2 linked regions of the Tribolium castaneum genome follow. The protein of the gene in region 1 purifies or fractionates together with the protein of each later gene. This does not show direct contact. Links are inferred from orthologs where the notes say so. Each region holds a gene or a part of one and is shown in the gene's direction. Other genes may lie near its edges.

The links. The genes of interacting proteins can lie anywhere in the genome.
Region 2: the proteins of Srp9 (region 1) and Srp54k purify together in Homo sapiens (co-immunoprecipitation; 4 studies listed by BioGRID and IntAct, counting the BioPlex papers as one, with this or other methods). This does not show direct contact. The link is inferred for Tribolium castaneum from reciprocal best matches to the Homo sapiens genes SRP9 and SRP54.

What each region holds. Positions count from the first base shown.
Region 1 is NC_087394.1:36,813,223-36,822,878, reverse strand, and holds Srp9 (signal recognition particle 9 kDa protein), read left to right. Parts: upstream 1-5,420; coding exon 5,421-5,561; intron 5,562-5,611; coding exon 5,612-5,707; 3' UTR 5,708-5,835; downstream 5,836-9,656. Other genes in the region: serine/threonine-protein phosphatase 4 regulatory subunit 1, read left to right, coding at 341-511, 703-989, 1,050-1,713, 2,014-2,092, 2,282-2,889, 2,940-3,210, 3,262-3,419; selenoprotein F, read left to right, coding at 3,687-3,734, 3,782-3,897, 3,946-4,273; uncharacterized protein C16C10.8, read right to left, coding at 4,305-4,736, 4,788-5,019, 5,068-5,192; syd (JNK-interacting protein 3), read right to left, coding at 6,026-6,141, 6,367-6,495, 6,542-6,835, 7,053-7,188, 7,243-7,495, 8,162-8,463, 8,519-8,938, 9,012-9,292. UniProt on the Homo sapiens protein: Component of the signal recognition particle (SRP) complex, a ribonucleoprotein complex that mediates the cotranslational targeting of secretory and membrane proteins to the endoplasmic reticulum (ER).
Region 2 is NC_087394.1:11,693,734-11,705,243, forward strand, and holds the start of Srp54k (signal recognition particle subunit SRP54), read left to right. Parts: upstream 1-5,522; 5' UTR 5,523-5,653; coding exon 5,654-5,731; intron 5,732-5,783; coding exon 5,784-5,960; intron 5,961-6,008; coding exon 6,009-6,238; intron 6,239-8,787; coding exon 8,788-8,938; intron 8,939-8,987; coding exon 8,988-9,136; intron 9,137-9,193; coding exon 9,194-9,455; intron 9,456-11,510. Other genes in the region: protein dopey-1 homolog, read left to right, coding at 1,149-1,301, 1,361-1,550, 2,070-2,081, 4,628-4,795, 4,845-5,217. UniProt on the Homo sapiens protein: Component of the signal recognition particle (SRP) complex, a ribonucleoprotein complex that mediates the cotranslational targeting of secretory and membrane proteins to the endoplasmic reticulum (ER).

The sequences.
Region 1 (9,656 bases):
ATTTTTATGTGCTGTGTCGCTCATCAACTGGATGTGAAATGGATTTGTAGCTCATATCACAGCCAGCTTTGATGAGCGCTACAACATCTAATAGACACCATTTTCACATGTTTGTGTGTTTTATGTTTCAGGTGTTGTTTTTGTACGATTTTTCATGGTGTAGGCTTTCGCTCATCATCTGGTTGTGAAATGTGAATTTATATCATATCACAGCCAGCTTTGATGAGCGCAAGAGTGCACTGATGACGTCAGGTACGAAACTTGTAAGTAATTACAGTTTGTTTTAATTGTGACCTCTCGACGTGTTTATAAAATTTAGATTTTTTCTTTTTTTTTGCAGTTGATGTCAAGAATGGCACCACTGCTCGGAAGAGATGTCACAGAGAGGGTGTTTTTGAAGAGGTTTTCGGAAATGTGTGAAAGTAGTATGTTTTACACGAGGAAAATGTGTGCGGCACATATCGGCGATTTTGCTGTTGTTGTGGGAAAACAACCGTTCCACAGAACTTTGGTAAGTGAAAAAAAAAATTATAAAACGTGATCACTTGCACAAGAAAGTAATGATGAGTTTACTTTTCACGATGGTCTTCTGATAAAATTTGAACGATAGCTTACACCATTCTGAAATTTTTTCTATTCAAATTTTTGTCTGTTTTTCGTAATACGTAGGTTGTTAAAGTAGTCGTCGGTTTTTGTTTCTAGTTGCCGTGTTATATAGCATTGTGTGAAGACTCAATATGGGGCGTTCGAAAGTCATGTGCTGAAGTAATAATGTTTATATCAACTGTAAGTGCACCCGAAGTACGTCGAAGGGTACTAGCACCGGTTTTTGCAAGATTATTGCAAGATGATTGTCGTTGGGTCCAAATGTCAGCATTCCAAGCATTGGGGCCTTTTATTATAACTTACGCCAATCCTCCTTTAACCAGCACGGCCTATAATAGTCAAGGCGAATTAATTTTTGTGAATAAAGATGGTCAAGAGTTTTTGTAAGTCGTAGTTAAATTTTCGGAGAAGTGGGTAAAACTGAATCAAAATTTTTTCCTTAGAATGAATGTTGCCAAAGAGACTAACGATGTCCGATTCAAATACTTGCCACGTCAGCCGTCTCCTCTCAGTTCAGATTTAAGCCAATCGTGCAGCGAAGTAGGAATTGGCGATTGGCAAGGTGTTGAAGATGTATTGCAAGAGAAAGACGACGAATGTGCGAGTAGCGAATTGGAAAGCGAGCGATTACCTGAGGAGAATTTCGATTTGGATTCGGGTAGTTTGATAGCGCAAAGCGACGAAGATATAAAAGAGATTGTGGAAACGGTGAAAAATGCTGTACTCAGCTATAGAAACGTGGAACAAGAACACGGTGTGATAGGCGATAACTTAAAAACTAACTTAAGCAATGCAAATGTGATAAGTAATTTAAAAAATGCGAGTTGTGATAAATTAGGTAGCGAATTAGATGCCGAATTTGCAAATTTGAGTCTGAGTATAGACGAACCAAGTACGTCAAAAATGTGTGATGATGTCGCTGATGATGGTGCGGAAACAACCGTCGAACAAAATCAGGTAATTTTGAATAGTGAGAGTGAAAAAGAAGACGATAACTTACACTTGTACAATTCATACAATTATTGGTATATAAGACCTGAAATGCCATTAGATCTCAGTTTAATCGAGGAGATTCAAATCGATCGAGGTAAAGTGGACGATACAACGGTGAGTAATTCATGCTTCTACTAATAACGTCACGAGTGTGTCATCATAAATTGCATGGCTTTTTTAATAATTAAGTGTAATTTTTAACGCTCGTTAATACCTCATTTTCGTGACGTAACTGTAAGTATTTTCTTGGTAATTTATGATGATACATTTTAGATTTTTTTGTGATGAAATTTAACGACGGTCTTCTGAGACGTACGTGAAGTCACCCAAAACGTTATTCTGAAACTATTTCAATGATGAAAAATACGTTGCGTCAGAGTTTTATTTACTGAAACGTTTTGTTTTTTATTGTAGGCAGGAGATACATTTGCTGAGATTAATTTAAATGAAAATTTGGCCGAAAGTAACAAAAATGATGCCCCAACTGATACAGGTAAGGTTTAGTAAATGTTTACTTACTAGTTACTTAGTATAACTAACTGTTAACTGACCAAAAATGATTAGAACATACAAAACGACAACCGTGAAGATAATTTTGTATAAGGCAGACTATGATTTTTTTGTTTTTTCTTAAATGCACTCGCGAAATGAGGGTCAAATATTGCACGATTTTTTTTTTCAGCTTCGGAGTCGAAGGAGGTTGCGAAAACCGAGCCGGTGCAAGACATTGTTCCTCAAGTGTTGATATCTCATTACTTTTTAATGACGGATTCTTCGTTTTCCTCAAATATAGACAACGAGATGTCGTACCATTGCGCCTATTCACTGCCGGCAATCGCACTAACGTTAGAAAATAAAAATTGGCCACTTTTAAAACGTACCATCGAATTATTGGCTAGTGATATGCATTACAAAGTACGAAGAACTGTAGCGAGTAGTTTACACGAATTAGCGTTTATTTTGGGTCAAGACATCGCATCGGAACATTTAACACCAATTTTCGAAGGCTTTATCAAGGATTTGGACGAAGTCCGAATAGGAATTTTGCGAAATTTGGCCTACTTTTTAAAGATTATTAAACCGGCCAAAAGATTGGCGTGCTTGCCTCGGCTACAGGAGTTTTTAAAAACGGAAACTGAATGGAATTGGCGATTCCGTCACGAGTTGGCTAAGCAGCTCCTGTCTATTGTTACACTCTTCAAACCAGTGGATTCGGCCAAACATATTGGGGTTATTGGGGAAGTTTTGCTATTTGATGTTTCCGCCGTGCGCCAAATTGCGATTTCTTTGGTAGTTATTTTTTAGTTTTAATAGTGGCAGTGTTTAATTTTAAATTACAGATCACCGAATTGTTGAGGCACATTTCATCAAAGCCCGATCTCAGCTCACTTTACCTAGTCAGATTAGTGGAGAAATTTGCTCATTCGAAAAAATGGAAGAGGAGACAAACGTTTGCCCTCCTGTGTTACAAACTTTTATCGGCCAAAGCCTTGCCTGCGGAAAAATTTGCAACCGAAATTATGCCTCATTTGTTGGACTTGAGTTGGGATCCAGTGGCTAATGTGAGATTAGTTGTGGCAAAAACAATCGCACAACATGTTATTCCCAACGGTGAGTGCTTCGAGTGTTGCGTTTTTGTGTGATTTATTTTTTTGGTTTCAGAGTATTTTGCGGATCCCAGTAATCAACATTTCGATAGTTTAGGAACTGTAATAAGGAGGCTCCAAGCCGATAAGGATCGTGATGTGCGTCAGTATGCGGAAATCAGTGATAAATTTGAATCGGTCTCACCTACACTTAGTTTGGATTACATTGACTAAATAAATTACAGTAAAGTTGTTTTGTTTTTATTCTTGGGTTTATGAACTTTGTTGTAATTTTAATTAAATCTTGTGAGCTATATACATTGTAATATTTATCTATAAGTTGTAATATAAGTAAAAACAATAAATTTAAACAATTGTCCTACGTAAAGGTTTTTTCCTACTTACACTTTACCTGACGTAGTTATAGATAATGCGCAAGTGCAGAAAGTTTGAGGTTATGTAATTCCTAACAATTTGATTTATTAGTTGATTCGGTTTAAAATGATGAAAGGTTCAATAATTACGTTAATTCTCACCTCCCTTTGTGCCGTAAGTGCCCTCCCAAGTGTTAATCAAGCCCTAAAAATAACTTTCAGACAAAATGCCTTTCCGAATTCACTACAGAAGACTGTTGGGCCCTCGGCTTCAACAAGGCAAATTTGTTGTGTTCGTCATGTGAGCAGCTCTCTAAATTCAATCTGGACGTGATAAAGTACGCATTTCGTCCCAAATTATCGTTTTTTTTTAATTAGTTTCTTAGGGACCATTGCAAGGAGTGTTGCCACCAGGACGAGTCAGCCACCGTGGAAAAGAAATACGCAAAGGCGGTTCTAGAGGTTTGTACTTGCAAATTTGGGGCGTATCCGCAGATTCAGGCGTTTATTAAAAGTTCCCGGCCTTTGCAATTTCCTAACCTACAAATTAAATACGTAAGGGGGCTTGACCCCATCATTAAATTGTACGACAAGGATGGGACGTTGCAAGAGACCGTTGCTATTGAAAAGTGGAACACTGATTCAGTTGAGGAGTTCTTGAAAACTCACTTACAACAAGACGATGATGATTATTTAAGAACAAATATGATTTAGCTATAATAAAAAACGAGTGATTTGGAATTGTTTATTGCTCATTCGTCACCAGTGAGACAACATCGTCATTTATCACAACATTCGGTAATTTCTTCAATTTTTTGTTGTACTTCTTGACTGTCTTTTCGGTGTGTTCGCACCCTGTTTCCTTCACATATGCGTTGAGAACCTTCTTTTGCAACTTCTTACACGAAATACTGCCTTTTACACTCAGAATTCTTAAAATTGTTCCCTTGAAACTAAATACATCATCCTCACTAGTTTTATTATCTTCGACTTCTTCCCCTGTCTTTATCTTCTTGTTAACGGGCGCTTCGCCACAATCGCCGTTCAATTTATGTTTAGTTCCATTCTCTTGTTGGTTATTTTTACTTTGTTCGTTTTTGTGTTTCTCAATCAAGCCCCAGGCAGCTTCAATGTCGTCAAAATTGACTCTACCTCCGGTGGAGCTTTTCAAAAAATTCTGAAACACTTCTTGTAATTTTTTTATACAATTTTGCCCCCAAAAACCCACAATAAACTTGACTTTTTTCCTTGGAACATTCGTGTAGTTTGAAATTGTCTTAAATAAATTTCTCAGAGACGGTTTCATACTAGTTTCCGTGTCCACAATGGACTTGATCATGTCGGTCCACGATTCCTGTTTCACTTCCCCTTTTTTAACAATCCCACCAGGAATTGAGCCCTTAGCTGCGTACCTTTCCTCCTCTGTGATACATTTAGTGTGAACTGCATATTCTTCATTCCTAATAATTTAAACGTAAATTTGATGCTACAAGGGCGCGAATACGTACTTAAAATCCTTAAAACAATCAACACAAGTCAGTGACTTCGGCCTCCGGCACTGAAAACTGTAGTGTTTCTCAACACGTGGTTTTTGGAGACTCTCGCCACAGTGATTGCACGTGAAAACCACCATTATTATCAAATTAAACAACAATTTGCAACAATTTCGTGACTACGACTTCACCCCCAATTGAATAATTAACTCGAAACGAAAAAAAATTCGTTTTGAAAGTGGGGCTGCCTGACACTAGTAACATTTATTTAGGGAGTTCGGTGTGGGCACTGTTGGTTGCATTGCGTTTTGACAAGTCCAAGTGCGTGGATGTATATTTTGCTATGATTAGTTTTAATTTGAATTAAAATGACTTATCTAAAATCTTGGGAAGAATTCGAAAAAGCTGCCGAGAAATTGTACCTTCAGGCACCGTCAAAAGCGCGCTACACGATGAAATACGTGCATTCAAAAAATGTGTTAATTTTAAAAATGACAGATGATGTGGTGGTAAGGCATTAAAAGGCTGTTTGTGGACTGTTCCCAGCGTTTATTTTCAGTGTTTACAATTCAAAACGGAGATTGCCCAAGATGTGCGAAAAATAGACAAATTTATCAACAATTTAATGCGACATATGGCATCAAAAGAACACTAACATAACCTCAAACGTCAATGCAATCGCATTTGTGAGTGGGTCTTATTTGAATAAAAAGCATTCAGTTTGTATAAGTTTCATTTACAGTGTAAGCACGATACATTTAAATAAAAATTTTCCTAAATACACGTCTCAAATTTACAAATCATAATAAATAGTTTTTACATGTAACAGATATAAAACAACGATAAAATATTATGTATCAATAACATATTCACAAGCTAAAATATCGTCCAAGTTGTTTTTTTTATAAACGTTACTAATCTAAAACCGCTAATGTTTAGTATTTCAATTAATGTTAAATATCATTTTGCTTAATTAACTTGTGGACACTTGCCACACAATCAAGTGACTTTTTTCCCCTTTGGATTCGCCCTGAGCTGCTTCAAGATCACCGGTTTCAGTATCAATAACGCTATCCTCCATCTCATCACCTAAAAACCGCAACAACTCAAAAAATCCCCCCCGAAAAAAACAAAAAATAAACAAAACGTACCCCACAGGATTCCCAGGAATATCAGGCAAAACCTGCCAAACGAGCAGATGCGAGTCTCCATCTCTCGGTTCATTTTCGTCCTCTGCAAATGTCTCTCTGTTAGTAACCTCCTCCAACACTTAATATTCCTAGGAATCCGTTTTAGCCCCCTTTTTATACTCACCGACGCGGAAATCGATGTAACCTTCGCCCCCCGACATCACCAGCATTGCCGACGGCTGCTTGGGGGGCAACCCGATCGAAGTCGCAGAAGTCGACAGTGCCTCTGAAGGCGTCGAAGCCGCGCTCATTCCTTTACATTTATTTTAGTTTTTTCAATTTCAATAAAAAAAATTTACCTCCGTTTCCGGGGACGGCGACAAAAAATTTCACGTTATCTCTATGGCCGTGGAAGCTGAGTTGAGCGTGGGCCATGGTACAAAAAGGGATAAAGCTTCCGGGAACGGGAGCAACACGTACTCCCGCTCCGGGAAGACTGGTTGATCCCCGGGGAACTATGCTTCCGGTGTTTGCCCCGTTCTCGCTCAATGGAACGGAAATTATGACACCGTTGCTTGTGCCAATCCAGAGGCGGTTTGACGATATCAAAAGACACGTTATGCGCACGAAGGAAAAGCCCAGCTTTCCAGTACCTAACACGTTATTTGTTTATTTCGAAAAATTTATCAATTTTATTCAGGGTGTCTCAGCTAAGACTTTTAAGCCTGATATCTCATACATTTGTCAACGGATTTTTATGAAATTTAAAATAACAATCCGTTGACAAATAATTGAGATATTAAACTCGAAAGTCTTGTATAAATTGTCTAAATTTTCTCATTTTTTTTCTGAAATATTTAAAAAACTCACCCAACATCTTGCTGACGTACGGCTCAATATCCACATCCTGCAAATGCTGGTAGGTATGAGCATGGTACAGTCTTAAAGTCGAATCTAAACGAATCGAAACCCAAACACCTTCACCCAACCACGCAATTTGTCGCACCTATTGTATAAAAAAATTATCATTTAATTAAATATAAATGTGATTAAAAATTACGGGACTTTCACGTCGAGGATGCGCTTCCAGCGAATGAATTATTCCCAATTCTTGTGGTTCAAGCACGTGAATTTTATTCCTATATCCGCACCAGACTTTATCTCCAACAACAGCCAAACAACGAACGGACTGATGTGGTAAACCCACTTGTACCAAATGGTAACGGGACAAGTCCCATTCTCCATCATCGTTTCGTGCGAAAATTGCCAAAGTACCACAAGCCAAAGCACAAACGACACGGCCATTTATATGTCTGCAAAAAATTGCCATTCTCTTCATTCCGCTCAAACTTTGATAATTATCATTTATCGGAATACAAAGAAAAAAACGGTGTTTTTTGGCCGAGATAAAGAAGGTTAGTTAGTTACGTGATCACTTCAGTCTTTTGTGTGTTTTCGGACGGTAAACGTCGTTTAATTTATCAATAATTTATCGTGGTGCCTCAACAAGACTTCACACAAACGGTAGGAATTTTTGCGTGTTTTAAATAGAGTTAAGTCCGGTTGTAACGAACTAAATGTGACGCAATTTTCCGTTTATAACAAACTTTTCACCGAGTTTTGAGGAATATGTTGGTTGATAATAATGATAAAGCAGCAAGAGAAGTGTTAACTAACCCTTCACTTCAGCGTTTAAAAATTCGTCAAAGATCGCAATATCATTAGGTTTACGTCATTTAAATACTTTTTTTCAAAGTTAACATGATTAATAGAGTGACATTTGAGAAAATACAATTTTAAAATTTTTGTTAGTCCCAAAGTTATTATCACTACCCAAATTAAAAAATTACAATTTATAAAAAAAATTGATTACTAGAAAATTATTAGAAAAAGATTTGTGAGGATCTGTTTAGGTCGATGATTTTCAAAAGAAAAAAATTCCTATTATTTATTTGAATTTTTCAAGTTAAATTACTTACACAATACTTATCACTGCATCTTTAAGTTTGACGGAATGCAGACACTGATTCCAATTGGCCACCGATGAGTGAACATAAACCATTCCATTTTCCGCTCCTAGCCACATTGTTGCCAAAACACTCGACATTATTTCCTGATTGCTCGTTTTATTCTTATCACTTTCACCCACATTTTCATCAGTTTCATCCTCAACAGGTTGTTCCTCAATTTTCTCTTCATCCACCGTTGATTTTGCATTATTATATTTGTCTTTTTTATTAACCACAGAAGTATCGTTTTCAACAAACGTAACTTTCCCAATCTGTAACCAAAAAAACAAATAGAAAAGTTCACACTTTTGCAACACTGTGACTCACCAAAGCCGCCTCTTCCAACTCTTCGTGATTTTTATCATTCGTTTTGTTTGTATTATTTTCCCCTTCGTCTTCTTTATTTTCTACGACGTTATCACTGCTGTCTTTTGCATTCTCACTAACGTTAATTTTGGTATACGTTTTATTATAATCGTTTGGACTAGCACCAGGTACACTAGCAATGCATAAAACATGGTTTGCACAAACCCCAAAACTATTCAAAATCTCCGCTGGATTATTCGCATCGATTACGGTTACTAAACTAGCAGCATGTGTGTATGTACAAATCCACACAAGTGACGATAATTTTGTCTCGAGAAGTGCCCCTTCACGACCTGCATTCAGCTCCTGATCCAGAGTCTCTAGCTCGGTGTGGGGCTGCTCCAGGCGGGGCTCTTCCGAGTAGAAGACACTGCCCCCCACCTTAAAAAACATTATTTAATCATTTAAATTCTTTCGCTGGATTTTAGCTCATATTTTTTTTTTAATTATTTACCATAAGCCCCCCATCTTTGGTGTAACCCCCCATGAGATTAACACCCGCTGCACACCAAATCTTCATCCCGGGCGTAGTTTCAGCCAATGGCCTACAATAAACCGGGACCGGGACCGGAACCCCGGAACTACTTTGTGTTCCTTTCGTTCCCGGACCAACTTTTCCGGGCAAACTCCAACCATACGCTTGCAATCTTCCATCCTCTTTTCGCACATGCGCTCTCACTTGTCGGTACTGTTCTCGTCTCTCAACAGCCCTCCTCAAAGCCAACTTTTCCGAACCTACAATTTTTTTCAAATAATTTTTTTTTCCTCGACCTTGATTGTGAGGTACTTACTATTTGTATCTACTGTCACTTGCACTACAACAGGCTGTATTTACATAAAGAAAAAGAGAGAGAGAGAAAATAAAAATAAAACACGAAAGGAAATTATTAAAATGTATTTGTAACAAACGTAACAATTATTGTGGTAACAAATTGAGTAAGACTAGATTAGTTACCGTAACTTTGGATTAATAAATGGATAAAAAATAATTGAACATTCCGTGTTTCATTACAGTCGGGGGTTAAAAAAAAATCATGCACTCCAACGCACCACCAAAAGCAGACAGGTCTACCAACCCAAATTTCGATTTTTGCTCAGA
Region 2 (11,510 bases), about 25 Mb from region 1:
CCATCATTTCTTAATCTTAATAATCCTTTTGTGTAATACTCTCAATAACTTTTTTTAATTTTATTTTCTTTTTTTTTAATTTTTTGCTATATTTTTTTGAATTTTTTGAATTTTGAATACCAGAAAGATAACAATGTGTACTATCTAAAACACAAATGAAAAATGGCATGTGTAATTGCAAAAATTGTAGCATTAAAAAAATAAAATCGACATGTTTAAGGATTTTTTTTGAAAAATTATCAAAAAAAAACGAATTAAAGATATGAATTTTGTGTGTTAATTTTGGTTCAGTCTGTATATTCGGTTTCCAATCTTTCCAATTCCAATGTAAATTTTTATAAATATTTTTCTCTTTTATTTAATGAATTTTCATTGCACTAAATTTGCCCCTATGATCCAGAATAACCCATAACTATGCAATTTTTTCCTATTGGCAATAGCTGTTGGTGTTGTCATTTTTTCAATAGTTTGAAATAGAATTTTCATAATTATTGATGGACGCGATTTTCTTGGTACTAAATTTATCAGTGGGTTTCTTTTTAACATTTGTAACACAGAATTCTTCTATTATACATTATGTTTAAACTTGTTTCAATTTTATTCTTAAAAATGCAATTCCGTTGTTGCGGATGTGGACTGTAAAAATTATGTAAAATTATATTTGGAAGTAGCTATAGAGATGTTTTTATATTATTGTTTTTATATTTATTGTGACAAATAAATAATGAACTTTTGCACTATTTGAAAATTTGAAAAACGGAAATAAAAGAACTTAAAAAAATTATTAATGTAGACGGTACGTATTTTCAGAGCACGCTGCGAACACGGTTGAAGATTAAAAAATATATTTAGAACAAAGTTGTAGTGAATTAAATTTTATTTAAAAAGTCTTTGACATAAGAAATTTATTTTACTACATTTTTTTCCTTAATTTGTTTAATATCGTCCTCTGTATTAATATAGTTTTTGATACAATTTTTTGATTAACTTTATTTCCTTCTATTGATGCTTCATATGTCTGTATTTTTTTGTGCTCATGGTTACTTAAATTAGGTATTATAAATTAATCATGAATCGAATTGCAAATCTAATTTCAAAACTGGTTAAATTGAATTAAATCATCTTGACAAAAATAACAAATATTGTAGGTCGAGTGTCTTTGACCCAAAGCGGCAGCTTGAGTATATTTTCATCTCGAGAACAGGAGTATGAACAAAGGGCGCAGCTCTTGAAACGTCTCGCGTATGTGATATTTTGTAGCGAAATGGACCAATATGCCAAATACATGCCGGACATACAAGGTAACAATAATTTTTTTTCTAGTTAAAACTCGCTAAACCAAAATATTTAATTTCTTTAGAACAATTGACAAGTAGTCTAAGACTGAATGTGCCAGGTGTACAAGCACAAGTTTTTCTTTGTTTTCGTGTCATCCTGATACGTATGAGTCCAATACACATTACATCACTATGGCCTATTATCATAAGCGAAATGTTACAAGTTTTTCTCCAAATCGAGCAAGAACTGTTGACCGACACCGAGGAATTTAGGTGAGGTTTTTCAGTTTTTTTGTATGTTGGGTATTGGATTTTATGTTATTTGTCAGACATGTTCATTTGTTTTGTTACAGTAGAGGGGTAATTAAGTAGTCGAAAAAACTGTAGCTAAGTTGGCCATTCGGCAAAAGGTCTGTTTTTTGCAATTAACAGTTTTGATTATTTTGTAGAACTTTTGAGACTAACAAGTGTAGTACAGTAAAACCTCTATAGTTCGAATCAATTTCTGTTTCGTATTAATTTTTTTATTAACAAATAAAAAGTGACAAAAAAATTAATAAAAATAATTGTTTGGATTATAAGAGGTTCGGTAAAAGTCGTGTACTGTAGTAGTTTGACCAACTATAGGTTACATTTTTTTCGATTGGGGTTTTGTTGGGTTGTTTTCTTAGTGGTGGAATATTTTGTATCTTAGTTATGTCACTAATGAGGGCTTTAGTAGTTTTCTAGAAATGCTATTGGTATATTCTAACAAAATTTTGTTTGTTTGCAACATGTTGGCTGCGATCGCAGGACGGGCAACAGGTAATTAAAAATAATTGTAATTAATTAAAGCATGCTTTTGTGTACTAACATTTCTAATTAATTATTGTAATCCGTTTGCATGTTTTTGGATAAGGTTTTTTTTCAAGTTGAACAAAATTTGATTGTTTTTATTTATTTTTTCTTCTGTTGACTGTTAAGGCTATGTTTAAACTAAAAAATTATTTGTTCGTGAGATTTTGCTAAACCTGGCTGAAAAATCAAGGAATTACGTCTAAAATGATGTGATTTATGCTTTTTTGGGCATTCTGGCTTGTTTTTTATTGACAAACTTATAATTATATCGGGCAATTTCAGCTAAAAAAGCTGAAAAATTATTAATATTTTGTTGCTTTAAGCTTTTTCTGATTTTCCGCAACATTTCGCTGACTCGAACTAATTAGAAGAAATTACTAAGTTATATTGGACATAAAATTGTTGTTTTAGCATGTTTTTTTTTAAACTAAAACTGTTGAAAAAATTATTAAAAATGTGAAAAATGATTTTTCGAGAATTTAGCACATTTTTTCATCCAGAAATGCAATTATATTTTACGAAATTTTGTCGAAAATAGTTGAAAATTTAGCAAATTAGTTAGAAAAAGGTGTAATTTTTTTATTTTCAAATGGGCAAGTATGTTATCGAACTGAAAACCCGGCTTTTTCGAAATTTCGGCTAAAATATGTTACATTTTGTAAGTTTTGGTGCGTTTTTTAACTAGAAACGCAGTTTTTCAAAATTTTATTAAATGGACCAAAAAAGTTCTTAATTATTACTGATTTTGCGAACGCCATTAAAAAGTAACACAAATTGGTTCAAAGTGTCATGTTTTAATATTTTTGATCGACTGTTTTAGCATGTTTTTCAATTAGAAAAGCAATTATTAATGAAAATTTTGTTAAGAGTACATCAAATGATGGTAGAATTGGCTAGAAATCGTGTTGTTTTTCTCTTTTTCATGTGTTTTATTACGTTTTTCGTAGCAAATGCAATTATTTTAGGAAAATTTGCTGACGAAGTTGAGTCGCAAATAACATTATTTTGCTTTTTCAGCCTTTTAACCAGCAATACTCAATTAATGACTCATAATCTTTAAGGTTTTCGTAAAAAAATAAGCACTAAAATTAAGAAATTAGTTCGAAAGTGATTCTATTTTATCTTTTTTGAACGTGTAAGCACGTTTTTCACTAAAAACTGCACTTGTACTGGATTTGGCTAAAGAGTGTCCAAAAATTTTGACAACTACGTCTTCAAGCTTTTTTTCTTTTAGAGAATTGCTACGTTTTTCAGCTAAAAACACAATTACGTCGCGAAATTTTTAATTTTTTTGGAAACTACTGTATTTTTCTACAGTTTTTACAATTCTTAAAATTGGATCACAAATGATTTGATTTTTTTATGGTGGTGTTATCACAACCACTAATTTCTAGAAATTCCAGCAAAAATAAGCGGAAAAATTACTAAGTTATTAAGTTTATAACATGTCTTTTTCCTTGTTTTTTTTTTTCTCAAATAAGTTAAAAACATGTTCAGGCTTGAAATATTACATAAAGTTGGTCGTTCTCGAGAGTTTTTGTACGTTTTTTAATTAGAAACGCAATTATTTTGCAAAATTTTATTAAAAAGTATCCGAAAAACTTTTTAGTTACAAGGTTGAAAATAGTGTGGTTTAAGCACATTTTTAAACCAAAAATTAGCTCTTTGGCGGTATTTCGCTTAACTGTGCTGAGAAGTCACAAAATGTGGTTAAAAATGATACATACTAACCTAACTCATGTCGAAAGTGTTTACACTTTTTAGCCAGAAATGCCATAATATTATGTGTAAAAAAATTCTAGAATATTTTTCTTTTTAGTGTTGAGCGCGTTTTTGATGTCTTTTTCTGACATTTTACTAACTAGGCCGAAAATCACTGCATGTCCTAAAAGTGATATTATTTTGTTTTTATCGGCTGTTTTAGCAGATTTTTCACCTAGAAAACGCTTTTATTTAAGGGAAATTTTGATAAGAATGGGCCGAATAATCGCCGAATTGATACGAAAATCTTTTTCATGTAGTTAAGTTAAAAAAAACATATATTCGGTTCACTTTCATAAAAACCATTGTGGTGCAAATAGCATACCCTTGGCATTAAATTTTATATGAGTTGTCATGGTAACAGCTTAGTCATTTGCACCACAATGGTTTTTATTAAAGTGAACCGAAAATAGGTGCTTTATGAAATTTTTTATACTTCTCAAAAATCGGTTAAAAATGAAAATTACATTTTTCGGGATTTTTATTATGTTTTTTAGCTAGAAAGCCATATTTTGAAGAATTTCGTTAAGTTCATTAAATACTTCAAATTGGTGTTGTATTTCTGTCTACTAAACACCGTTACATTAACATTATTTAACTCTAAACTTTTCTTTCATTAAAAAAGGTTTTTAGAACATTGACGAGTATAAATCCTTTTTTAATAAGATCAGCATTTATCATCAGACTCCCATGGTCAAGCCTTATCCAAGAACATAATTTTAGTGTTTTTTATTATATTTGGATTTTTGTAGTTATCATATAAAGCTGTTATCAACCCTTGACGCAAGTTGGTCGACGAATAGCAACAACGGTTTGCACGCCTTGGGCCACCCTCATTGGTTGAGACTACAGTTGGCCACGGCTAAGTTACTAGATTTGGCGTTGTTGTTGCCAGCTGTTACTTTACCCCAGTTTCAAATGTAAGTTTTTTGTGTTTTTTTTCTTAAAACAAAAAATGATTTTTTTTAGGTATCGGTGGGCATTTGTGGGGGATGATTTAGAACGGCTCCACAGTTCGGCAGGGGCTTCATTTATCCCACACGTGGTCAGGATAGCCAACCTGATGGATAAAAAATTCACTGATACACAAATCGAAACTCTGCCAATGAAACGAAATGAATTATTACTAACTATGAACAGTATTAACCAACTAAAGGATCTGCACAGCTTTTTCAAAACTCTTAGTCTATGTTCTAATCGACATAGGACAGAATGTAGCAAAATAACAACCAGCGATCATCACACGTTAAATGATAGACAGTCTGATAAAAAATTGATCATGATCTTGGAGAAAATCGACAAAGTCATTGAAATGGATTTTCTTGATAAAATTCCGCGATAAGTGTAATTTTCAATTTCCAAAGAGTTCAGTATTGAAATGAGTTGTGGAAAATGTCGTGACGTGGCAATTATTTTTATTGTTTTGTTATTTATTGACTTGTTTTTTGTCTTTGTTATTGCGGGTGTAATTTTATTGTAAATATGATAGCATTTAAAAGATTGTGATTTTATATTGTGATGTAATAAGATGTTAATAGCATTGCCTAAATGTAATTATTTGTATTTAACTCTGTAGATAATTATACACTTTGCTACAATGGGTTCAAGCGCATTTCATTCAAATCTGGCGCCACACCCACCATTGCCAACCAATGCCAAGTTTTTTTTGGTGGAACCTTAGCCACATCCCACAACCAGCATGTCACCAACTTGTCAAAATTGTTGAAACATTTTTAACAACAAATAAAGCATTAACTGTGTGAAACGAAGCTTCCACGATGGTTTTAGCAGACTTAGGTCGTAAAATAACGACTGCTTTGCAGTCGTTAAGCAAAGCAACGATAATAAACGAAGAGGTAAAGTCTTCCAGATGGTGTTGAGGTTAGGTGAGCCCCCAATGTTTTGCAGGTTCTCAATGGAATGCTCAAGGAAATATGTGCAGCTCTGCTTGAAGCCGATGTAAATATCCGTCTCGTGAAAAAACTGCGGGAAAATGTGAGGGCGGTTATTGATTTTGATGAGATGGCAGGGGGCTTGAACAAGCGGAGGATGATCCAGAGTGCCGTTTTCAAAGAGCTCGTTAAAGTAGGAACAGTTTGTTTGTCGAATTTTGGTTATAAGTGGTGTTTATAGCTTGTCGATCCCGGTGTCAAGCCATACCAGCCTGTTAAAGGCAAACCCAATGTTATTATGTTTGTTGGGCTTCAAGGCTCAGGGAAAACCACAACTTGTACAAAGCTGGCATATCATTATCAGAAGAAAAATTGGAAGTCGTGTTTAGTGTGTGCGGACACGTTCAGGGCTGGTGCCTATGACCAGGTTAAACAAAATTGCACAAAAGCAAGAATCCCGTTTTACGGAAGGTAATGTTACAGATTTTTGCACTAAGGAATTTGTTTTAATCATTTGAAATATCAAGGTTAACTAGTTAAAAACATTGGAGTGACCTATAGTTTTTAAATTACGTTGGTAACAATGAATGAAATTAACACCTGTGTGATTGAATTAAAAAATGCGGTTTCGTTTTAAGAAAATTTGTTAAAGAACAATTTACACAAACTGATAATGACGACTTTATACTCAGTTCCAACAAAAAAATTAAGCAATATGACAATAATTATTGAAACCATTTGCAGAAAAATGGTCGAACTACGTTAATTCCAAACAGATAACACCACAGATTTTAACACTTAACACTGTCTTACCTATTACCTATTACCCTATGGTCATAAATTTATAAATAAGACTTGCATGTCATTAGTGGATAATTTTTCTTATTCGGTGTAACCGAATATGATGTTATTTCAATATTATTAACAACTTCAATGCTTCATGTGAAGATAAAATTTCTAATAACTTATGAAGTAACTACATGAACATGTAGATAATAAATTTATTATTTAAATAGGATATTTTTTCAAATAAACTGTAATTTTTTAATGTTATTCTTCTAAAAAAAAAAAGGTTTGAAAATTGGTTTATCTAATTACAAAGTTATAAGTTTGTGTTCCAGTATTTTTAAGCTAATAGAACTACATGTTTTCCAATTATAGTTCAGGACAGTAAAATCATTTGTAGAAAAGATGAATTGTAATTAAAATTAAGTATCCAAATAACAACATGTGTAACAAAAAATAGAAAATTTCGGTTTTTTTACACCATATACCTACTACAGGATGTTTGATTCGTTTTTTGTAGTTCAGTTATTATTTAAGTTAGATTTTTCATTTTTTGTAGTCGCTATTTGTATTCTAAGACACATTTCAGGAAAATATTTTTCATTATACAGATTGCCCTAAAAAACTGTGACATTTTTAATGGTATGCTATTAATTTTTGTGATAACTTTCATTTCCCTAAGAAAAATTCAAATCGGTTCAGGAATTCCTGTTAAAAAAATAACAAAAAATTGGTTTTGCACCCGTAATTTTAAAATATGGATAAAAAGTACAAACATTAAAGGTACCGAAAGAAAATTACAATCAAACTTGACTTGAATTACCATAGTGTTCACAATTAAGAAAAAAAGTTTGATTTTTAATTTAGCATCGAATGATAATAATTAAAAATAAACAGAATAAGTCTCATCTTCAACTTTTATTCAGTAAAAATCTGTCATTAAATTTTGTTTACAAATAACTTTGATTGTGTTAGGATTTACGGTAGGGTGGTACGTATTAAGAAAGTATGTTTGTTTCTTAATTCCGCATAAGCTGATATAAAAAAAAACATTCTTAAAAACTACTTAAAAACTAAAAATGCCTGAAGTTCAAAAAGTTCTATAGTAAATTATTATGTGGCATAAATACCAAAATCTTACCATAGAATATTTTTTTTAATTATTCTGCATAAACACAGATTGAGTACTTTAAAAAAATAATAATATAAGTTGCTTCCTAGATCTACCTTTGTGCATTTTTATCCATTTTTGACAGTTTGTTGGTCGTAACTTGTTGAAACTGTATTCAGTCTTTTTTGTCTAACTATTCATTTTACGAAAATTATTTATTATAATTATTTTAAAAATGTAATCTTTTTTTAAAAACTGATTCCTTTTATGTAGTTTTTTAATTATCCTAAAAAATATTTTAAATGCCAGAATGGCACCATACCACGACAATTTTTTTGGTTAAGTATGATACTCTAAAAATGACTTCTAGTTCATTAATACGAGTACTGATTAAATCAGTATTTTTTAAAATAAATTATCTAAGTTGCGTAATTCTTTTTTTTGTAAACACACCCTCACGTTATGACTTACGAGTTATGAGACTATTTTCATTGTGAATATCTTGATTTTTTACAATATGAAACATCTTCGGTCAAGTTCGAAAAATTTATGTGATGATTTCGGAACTAAACTTCAATAATTCATTATTTATCAAAAAAAATAACTCTGGTAATATTTTTATCTTAATTTTAACTTAAATCAAAACATATTTTTTTACATAAAAAATGATAATATTTGATAATGTATAAATTTTATTTTTGTGTAATTTGTGAAATTGTAATTTGGTTCCATACTTTTGTTCTGTAACTTTTGTTTTGTAACTACTCGAAAGTGTAATGTATAATTTTGGAAAATTTTTTCTAATTCATAGGTTTTAATAACTACTTAGTTTTACTTTGTATAGAATTACAGTTATAAACACATAATTTATGATATTTCTGTAAGATCCGATTTATTGATTTAATTTAATTCGCAATTAAATGTGTTATAATCTTTTAACAACGAATTAAATTTTAACAAAGCTTTATATAAACCGGTCCTAGTATTAATTAGTGTATTATTATTACTATAAAAACGAAAAACCTAATAACACGGGCATTTAACACACTAACAAAAAACACAGTATTGTGTACATCATTAAATATTTCCAACTTAGTTTCAAATCACAATGAATTAATTTTAGTTACACTGAGGTGGACCCAGTGGTGATAGCGCAAGATGGTGTCGACATGTTCAAAAAAGAGGGTTTTGAGATTATTATTGTGGATACGAGCGGAAGACATAAGCAAGAAGAATCATTATTTGAAGAGATGTTGGCAGTTTCAAACGCCATTGTATGTGAAAATTTCCAATTTAAATTTTGTGTAATTTTTGTGGCTTTAGCAACCTGACAATATTATTTTCGTCATGGACGCCACCATAGGTCAAGCTTGTGAAGCTCAAGCGAAAGCTTTTAAAGAAAAAGTCGATGTAGGGTCTGTAATTATCACAAAATTGGACGGACATGCCAAGGGTGGAGGCGCCCTCAGTGCGTAAGTCGAGTATTTTATTTTACAAAGACGGAAATTTTAATAGAAAAAATCAATCAGGGTGGCTGCTACCAACAGTCCGATTATTTACATTGGTACAGGGGAACATATTGATGATTTAGAGCCGTTCAAGACCAAACCTTTCGTCAGTAAATTGCTAGGAATGGGCGATATTGAGGGTCTCATAGACAAAGTAAATGAATTGAAACTAGAAGATAATGAAGAATTGTTAGAGAAAATCAAACATGGACAGTTCACACTTAGAGATATGTACGAACAGTTTCAGAACATCATGAAAATGGGACCCTTCTCACAAATTATGGTATGTACTTCTTTTAGTCATAATAGTCATAACACACAAATGAATTATTTTTTATTGCGTTTTTCACACCATAAATATGTACCATTAAAAAATCCTGAGTCAAAATGTATGTACAAAAATTTCGACGAAAAGCCGAAAAGTCACGTAATAGTTTTTCTTTTTCTTTTAATGCTTTAAGTTAGAAACGTCAATTTCGTGCGAAATTTGCTTACATTAGACAAAAATTTGCAGTGAAGATGGAAAATGACTTCTTTTTTGTTAGGACTACACTTTTCAGCAAAAAACTTACAAAGGAAGTCTCGGAAATTACATTGTTGTCTCCTTTCTAGTTAGATTTATCTTTTTGAGTGAGGAATTTTGCAAAATTTAAAATTGAATCAAAAATTACAGTTTTTTGGTGTGTATGGAATGATTTATGGCTCGTTTTTGCTAAAAAATGTGGGCATTTATATTTTTTAGACATTATTTTGAGGTAAAAAATTTCTTTTACGGTATATCCCTATAATGAAGATCGAAGACGAGATAATTATTTTTTTTTGATCATTTTTTGCACAAAAGAAACAATCTTATTTTGTGAAATTTTGGCAAAAGTTGCACAAATTATTATGTAGAAATTTAAGTACAATCACCCAAAATTAAAATGACGCGCGTCCTAGTTCGTCAAGACGTATTGTTACTTTGTGAGGTCAAAAAATTTGTTTGCAAACTTAATTTACTAAATAAGATTGATTATTTCAACTTATTTCCCTTGGTTTAATTTGTTTAATTTATTTTTGGATTAAATACTCATTTATTTTTCAAAATTGATCAAAAAATGACTAAAAACTACAAAAAGGTTGAAAAAAAACACAAAATTCTGTTATTAAAACGTGTTAACCTTTTCCTCCTAGTTAAAAAATCACAAAATTAGAATGGAGATATTTTATTGGGCTTATTTTTCTTGATTTAGCTCGTTTTTGAACAAGAAATTGTTGTGGAACTAAGTCTTCTGCGAGATTTCGCTAGAGGAGGCTCAAAAAGCGCCAACTTAAGTCTAGCCCTACATAATTTTTGTTTTTTTTGAGGGTTTTAGCACATTCTTAAATTAGAAACTTAATTTTGTTAAGATTAAATAAGCCGATAATGGTACTATTATTTTTATTTTTTCGAGAGTTTAAGCACATTTTAAGGTCACAACAAAAGTCTTTTAATCTTTTAATTAATTTCGCTAACAATGGCTGGAAAATCACGAAATGTTAATCCAAATTGATTGCAATTGCGCTTATTTGATTTGTTTCACGTGATTTTTCAGCGAAATCTCTTCGAAAATAAACCGAAAGAAATTATAAAGTTTTTTTAAGCTAGTAAACACGTACTGATGTTATATTTTTAGTTTCTTATTTTCTTTAGTTTTAGTTTAGTATTTAGTTTCTTTAGTTTAGTTATTTTTTAGTTTCTCATTTCTTTACAGCCAGAAACTATCTGCCACAGTTTTATAAAATACCAACTAAAGCTGGACTGAAAATTGTATAAATTCTGCGTTTTTCGTAGTTTTTTTTTTTAGAAAAATTTCGCTAAAAGTGGTTGAAATTTATATTTTTTCAACCAGTTTTCAACCAGAGATTTATTTACGGTACAAGTACTTATTACAACAACCAGTTTTGATCAAAGTAATGTTATTTCTACGTTTGAGCAATTAAGCACGTTTTAGAGTGAAATTTTTTTTTTGAGATTTTGCTAGAAGAGAGCGAAAAATCATCAATTATCTTATGTTATTAGCGCGTTTTTCGGTCAGAAATGCAATTATTTCACAAAATTTAGATAAAACACCGGAAACTCATCCATTTATACTGAAGTGGATGTTATTTGATTTTTCTCCAAGTCTTGTTGAGGTAACGTCTAGTTTTTTCTCGAAAATGTTGTCTAAGATTGGATGAAAATCACCGAATTTTTGTTATTTCTACTTGTCAGAACACACCGAAAAATTACAAAATAAATTTTGAGCGCAATTTCGTGAAGAAACTATAACATTTGGTCAAAAATCATGTTTTGTTTTAGTCATAAAATTTTATGTTT